2 linked regions of the Oryctolagus cuniculus genome follow. The protein of the gene in region 1 purifies or fractionates together with the protein of each later gene. This does not show direct contact. Links are inferred from orthologs where the notes say so. Each region holds a gene or a part of one and is shown in the gene's direction. Other genes may lie near its edges.

The links.
Region 2: the proteins of LSM4 (region 1) and PRMT5 purify together in Homo sapiens (co-immunoprecipitation; 3 studies listed by BioGRID and IntAct, with this or other methods). This does not show direct contact. The link is inferred for Oryctolagus cuniculus from reciprocal best matches to the Homo sapiens genes LSM4 and PRMT5.

What each region holds. Positions count from the first base shown.
Region 1 is NC_091447.1:65,592,543-65,595,365, reverse strand, and holds the end of LSM4 (U6 snRNA-associated Sm-like protein LSm4), read left to right. Parts: intron 1-83; coding exon 84-125; intron 126-347; coding exon 348-446; intron 447-1,444; coding exon 1,445-1,628; intron 1,629-1,811; coding exon 1,812-1,903; 3' UTR 1,904-2,230; downstream 2,231-2,823. UniProt on the Homo sapiens protein: Plays a role in pre-mRNA splicing as component of the U4/U6-U5 tri-snRNP complex that is involved in spliceosome assembly, and as component of the precatalytic spliceosome (spliceosome B complex).
Region 2 is NC_091443.1:52,081,919-52,085,664, forward strand, and holds the start of PRMT5 (protein arginine N-methyltransferase 5), read left to right. Parts: upstream 1-1,431; 5' UTR 1,432-1,640; coding exon 1,641-1,750; intron 1,751-1,776; coding exon of another isoform or gene 1,777-1,835; intron 1,836-2,385; coding exon 2,386-2,504; intron 2,505-2,817; coding exon 2,818-2,903; intron 2,904-3,071; coding exon 3,072-3,206; intron 3,207-3,746. UniProt on the Homo sapiens protein: Arginine methyltransferase that can both catalyze the formation of omega-N monomethylarginine (MMA) and symmetrical dimethylarginine (sDMA), with a preference for the formation of MMA.

The sequences.
Region 1 (2,823 bases):
CGACGGGGGGGGGGGGGGGGGGAGTTTGGGGTTTCTGGGATGCCGCCCCGGGCCGCACAGTCCCTGGCACGCTTGCCTTTCAGCTTCCCCTGTCGCTGCTGAAGACGGCGCAGAACCACCCCATGGTGAGTGTGCGGGGGCCCTCCCGCCCTCCCGTGCGCAGCCCTGCGCCCGCAGCAGCCGGGAGCTCCCTCCAGTCCCCCGCGTGGGTGGGGGGTGGGCGGCAGGGGGCGCAGGGACTTGGGCTGGGGTGCGCACGCGCGGGAGGTGGTCCACGGGCCTCGCGGGGTCGCAGGGCCAAGCCGGGCCCCCCGGGCGTCTACACCTGCGGCCCCGACTCCCGGCAGCTGGTGGAGCTGAAGAACGGGGAGACGTACAACGGGCACCTGGTCAGCTGCGACAACTGGATGAACATCAACCTGCGGGAGGTGATCTGCACGTCCAGGGTGAGGCCCGCGCCGCCCCGCCCCCCTGCTGCCCCGCCCCGTGGGCGTCACCCGGCCAGCAGGAGGAGGGCAGTGCCCCCACCGCCGGGACCTACCGGGTGATGTGGGAGGGGCGGGGCGGCTCCCCAGGACCCACTGAGGGCCTCCCCCCGGGCTGTGAGCCCCTGCAGACCCCGGGGTGGCCGCCAGGCCTGGGCTGCCCCGCCTCCCGGTGGGAGGTGCTGGGTCAGACCCCGGGGTGGGGTGGGGTGGGGTGGGAGGGACCCGGCGCCTCCCCAGGGTTGGCTCAGCCCCCGGGCCCTGCTTCCAGATCCCCGGCGCCCGCGGGGAGGAGTGACGTCCCGGCCTGTCCTTGGCCACTGTGGAGCCAGCGTGGCGCTGGAGCTGGGCCCCATGGGACCGCCCTACTTGTGTCTGGCTGGCCTTGGGGTCCCCACTGGGAGCCCGCCCTCAGCGGCCTCGGCCGGCGACGCCCACCCAGCCGCCCGGGGAGCAGCTGACCGGAGGGGGGGTTCTGGCCGGGAACAGCGCCTGCAGGCACCGTGCGGGGCTGGTGGCCAGGGCGGGGCCGGTCCCGAGCTGTGTGGACCTTGTCCCTGTGCAGGGGCCCGGGCGGGGGTGTGGCCGGGAAGTGCCAGGATTGCATCTGTGGGACAGGGGCACACAGGGCTGTGGGGTGGGGGCGGGGCGTGCTGGGGGTGCCCCTCTCGGCCCACGGCACCGGTCACTGCCCCGCTGGGCCGTGGCTCCGTCGGTGCCCTGCTCAGGCCCAGAGACAGCTCTAGAAGGGGGGCTGTGGGCAGGGGGAGTGGGGGGTGGGAGAGACCCAAGCAGCCTCACTGGGGGCGGGGCTTCCTGGCTGCCCAGGGGCCAGACAGGCCCTGCGCGGGGGGGGGGGGGGGGGGCGCCCGGGGGGGGGGCGCCCCCCAGCCTCGGCCCTGGCCGCAGCTCAGGGACCCTCCGCCGGGCCGGGCGTTGACGCGCTGCCTCCGGCCCAGGACGGGGACAAGTTCTGGCGGATGCCCGAGTGCTACATCCGCGGCAGCACCATCAAGTACCTGCGCATCCCGGACGAGATCATCGACATGGTCAAGGAGGAGGTGGTGGCCAAGGGCCGCGGGCGCGGGGGCCTGCAGCAGCAGAAACAGCAGAAGGGCCGCGGCCTGGGCGGCGCCGGGCGAGGTGCGGGCAGGGCTGGGCGGGGCGGGGGAGGTGCGGGCGGGGGGGGGGGAGCGGTGCTCCCCTAGGCCCTCAAGCCCTGGTCCTGGCCAGTGGCGGAGCCCCTGTCCTCCCTGGGCCCTTGTCCCGGCCCCCGCCGCACAGCTGGGGAAGCTGAGGCCAAGCCGCCTCTGTCCGTCCCTGCAGGTGTGTTTGGCGGCCGGGGCCGAGGCGGGATCCCAGGCACTGGCCGAGGCCAGCCAGAGAAGAAGCCGGGCCGGCAGGCGGGCAAGCAGTGAGCCGCGCCCCCCGAGACCGAAGCCCTGCCCCGCTGCGGGACCCTCTCCTTCCGGCCGGGCCGCCTCGCCCCCCCCCCCAGTGTGGACACCTGTGTGGTGGTGTTGGTTTTGTGAAGCCCCCGCCCCGAGGCCGGCCCGGCTCCGTGGATAGCTCCGTGGATAGCCCGGCCTGCACCTGCTGGCACGGCCCAGGGCCGGCCCCTCCCGCACGGCGACAGGCCCGCGGGGGCCGTAGTGTCGCCTTCCAGACGGAGTGGACGGGGCCGGCCCATGCGCCTTTGCTTCCATTTCTCTGTGTTCTGAAAATAAAGCCCAGTCCAGCCTCAAGGCCCCTCGGCTTGCGTCCGCCCTGCAGCCCTTGGGCCCCAGGAGACCACATCTGGGGGCCCCGACCCGGCCTGGGGGCTCCACAGGGGCTGGGGGGGTCTCCCGAGCTCCTGGCCCGGCTTGTCCTGCGGCCCCTCCCGTCTTGATAGAGAGTCGGGGAGGGGGCACCCTGGCTGGAGCCACTGTCCGGCCCGCTGCCCCCTCTCTGTTTTCCCACCAGGTGTCACCTTGGTGATCGCCCCCCAACCTCAGGGGGGGCAGGGGTTCCGGTCACGGCCGGGGGGGGGTGACGCAGGGGAGGCCTGGGTCCCCGCTTGGGCGTTCTCCGGTCACGGCCGGCCGAGGCCCGTCTGGAGGGGCGACAGCATTGGAGGGACGTAAGTGCAGCCCCCACGGCTTGGGGCTCCCGGCTCTGCGGCCCACAGCTCCGTGGTGGCGGCGTCTTAGGGGCCGGCGCCGTGGCTCAGCGGGTGAAGCTCCGCCTCGACCCCCCAGGACCGCTGGTTCCAGTCCCGGCTGCTCCCAGCCAACGCACCTGCCATCCTCGCGCGAGCCCCTGATGGAGCGCCTGGCTCCTGGGCGGTGCAGCCGCC
Region 2 (3,746 bases), on another chromosome or scaffold:
TGCCCTTGATGAAATGAGGAAATGATATTCGGCCTCCATGACCTCCCCAAACCCATAACATCAGATTCCAGTAGAGGAGCATTGTATAGTCTATCTGGCCAATACCATCAAACTATCAAGATCATCAGAGACAAGAAACAGCTGAGAAACTGCTACAGCCAAGAGGAATCTAGAGAGATGTGACAATTAAATGTAATATGGGATCCAGAAGTACACAAAAAGTCTGGTAATAATAACAATAATAATAGAAGACACAGCATCTCCAACCCCTTCAGGCTTCATGGTGCATTTTCTTGGCGCTTTGCTTTTCTGACTCTCATCCGTTGGGGGCACTTAAGTCGCACCCAGGACTCGTGGGGCTCATCCCCTCCTGCTCCCTTTCCGGGTTTCCCAGGCCTCTGATCCGCACCGGCTACGGTCAGCTCATCACTCTCAGGGCTTCGTTAGCTACCGTTCTTCCGGCGGGCTCCAGATCCTATTCGGTTCAGACCACGGTTCACCCAGCTCTGTTACACAGCGCCCCCTAGACATCCACTTCAGCACGTCCAGACCCAAACCCCGATTCTCTACGAACCGCAAGGACTGACAGAACCCTGGGCTATCACCCGCCTAACAAGCGGACCCCAAATTCTGTTAACGCCCCCTGCGTAGGGTTCTCGTGCTGCGATCACCTCTCCAGCCCTCAGTGCTGAACCTGTGGGCTCCCTGCCTTCAGGGGTCTCCATTTCCCTCTCTCCGTCTTTCCTTGCTTCATTCCTTTCTTTTTTCCCGTCTCTCTCCTGTAAAGGGAAAATGCATTTCCATGATTCCCGTCCACTGCAATCTCTCACTAAGAATTGGTTTTCTCTACCTCGAGGGGCTGTGAGTGTGCGCTTAGGTGTTGATTTACACCTTTTTGTGTTTGAGACACAAGCACTATTAAACACTGTCAGTTATCACAATCTATTTAAAAAGGTTAACATAGTAAGGGGACAAATCTTGTTTAAACAGAACCCCAGCCATTAACCCAGTTTAGTTGGGTCTAAGCAATGACACAAGGAACACATTTGAAAGAGGTGACGGAAAAGGTTAAGTAAAGATGGCTGTAGGACCCAAGTAACTTGGGACCTGAAAAGTGAGAGGGTGGAAAGAAGTAAAGCTTTCAACAGTGAAGGAAGGAAAACGGAAACCACAATTTCTGGGGAAGGTGATGCAATAAAGGAGTACCAGTCCCAACGAGCCAGCCAGGAGTCGAACCTGGAATCTTCTGATCCGTAGTCAGACGCGTTATCCATTGCGCCACTGGCCCTGAGACAATCGCGCTGGGCTCTGTAATGATTCTTCAAGCTTACAATGCAGGGTTTCATGGGACGTGTAGTCCCTCGGCGGCATTCGGCGGCTGCACAAAGCATTCTGGGAGATTCGGGTTCGTCACGAACCAGACCCTGAGATTGGTAGATCTGCAGGAGCCACGCCGTACGTCACGGTGCAGCCCGCGGATTGGCGGGAAGAGTCACTCTCCACCCCTCCGTCTCTTGCTCCGGAGCTGTGGAGGACGCTCTGGTTGTTAAGGCGACTCGTCCCGCCTTCTCGGGGCCTGGTTCAGCGTGTGATTGGTTGCTAATATCAAGGAATCCCGGCGTGGAGAGCGCGAGGGAAAGATGGCGGCGATGGCGGTCGGGGCTGCCGGTGGGAGCCGCGTGTCCAGCGGGAGGGACCTCAATTGCGTCCCCGAAATAGCTGACACACTGGGGGCTGTGGCCAAGCAGGGGTGAGGGCCAGACCTTCGCGGGCGGAATGCAGGGTCCGAACTCGAGGACGGAAAAGGGCAGGCTAGTCATCCCCGAGAGGCAGGGGTGAAGGGGCCGGATGGGACGAGGGCGTGAGAAACCCCATTACTCCTGAGAGGAGCAGCTTCGGCCCGGCGGGTGGAAAGTTAGGGGAGTCGTGTGGCCTCTTAGTCCAGAAGTCGGGGGAGTTGTCGGGGATACAAAAAGGGGGCATACAGCCAATCCCCTAGGGCTCCGGGGGTAAAATGAGTATGCGGGAGTAGGGGGAAGTGTTGGGGGCAAAGGCGAGAGGAGGTTCATGTGCAGGGAGGGTAGGTGTAGGTAGCCCTGGGGCAGCTCTGAACATCACAGTCCTGGAAAGCCAGTGACCCCAGAGTAGAGAGAATGCTACTTGGCGTGGATTTCCGTCGTTTTCCCTTACTCATCTTTTCCCTGCCTGTGTTTTGGGGGAGAAATTGAGGCACGGTGCAGGGAAGTGGTATGTCCCAGGATGGGCTGCAACCAGGAGCCAGCGCGGTGACTGGTGGCATCTGAAAGGGCTGTGCGCAGTTGAGGTAGCCTAAGTGCAGTGCTTGGCTCTCTTTACATGATGATTCTGGGTCTGTCGCGGTTGTAGGTTTGATTTCCTCTGCATGCCTGTCTTCCACCCGCGGTTCAAGAGGGAGTTCACTCAGGAACCTGCTAAGAATCGGCCGGGCCCCCAGACACGATCAGACCTACTGCTGTCAGGAAGGGGTAGGGACCATCCCATATGCCCCTTAATTGTTAGCAGCAGTAACAACCTCTGCTTTATCAGAGCCCTCGTTCTCCTCCTTTTCTGACTTGGATATATTGGATAGCCCCTGGGATCTAGGGAATTCTCGTTTTCTCCTTGCTTATTTGCTAAAAGCCTTAGTTGCCTATTCTGCATCAGACTATCCCATGTCTGTGGTGGAAAATGCCTTTGTCTCTCATCTCTATTTTCTGTTCCCTACCAAGAACTAGAAATTGAACCAGTACAGTACTGAACCTCATTCAGTTTTTGTCTTTCCCGGGTGGGGGAGTGCAGACTGGAATACGCTAATTGTGGGAAAGCTCTCTCCATGGATCCGTCCAGACTCGAGAGTGGAGAAGATCCGCAGGAACTCGGAGGCGGTAAGACAGTGTTTGACCTCTCCTGGAGCGTTCTAAAGATGACCTCTGTACCCGAGCTGGGTGGGAGAGCGTTTTTCCCTTCCATCAGTTACAAAATCAACTAACAGAATGCAATGAAAGCTATTTGGAGGTTAGCTCTTAACATTTTCCTCCCGTTCTCCATTCCAGGCCATGTTACAGGAGCTGAATTTTGGGGCGTATCTGGGTCTTCCGGCTTTCCTGCTGCCCCTTAATCAGGAAGATAACACAAACCTGGCCAGAGTTTTGACCAACCACATCCACACTGGCCACCACTCCTCCATGGTATGGTCGAGGGTCTCTTTTTCCCACTGCATATCATGGTAGTCAGGCTCTGTGCGGGAGCTTCTTGGGCCTGCCAGTCAGTGAAGCGGGAATTTGGCAGAATGGAAATTATTGCTCACTCCCCTGCTAACAGACAGTTTCACAATATCTCATTATTTCTTGAAACTTTACAATTGAAACACAAGGCAGATTTTTTTTTTAAGGGAGGTAGAGTTACAGAGAGAAATATCTTCCATCTGCTGGTTCACTCTCCAAATGGCCGCAGCTAGGCTGATCCAAAGCCAAGAGCCAGGAGCTTCTTCCAGGTCTCTCAAGCACTCGGGCCCTCTTCTACTGCTTTCCCAGGCCATAGCAGAGAGCTGGGTCGGAAGAGGAATGGCTGGGACTAGAATCTGTGCCCATATGGAATGCCAGCACCTTAGACAGAGGCTTAGCCAGCTACAGCACATTGTTGGCCCCACAAGGCAGATATTTGCTTAAGGATATATACAGGATACATGTACAAAATCACAAATTGGGAAAACCATCTAAAGGGGTTAA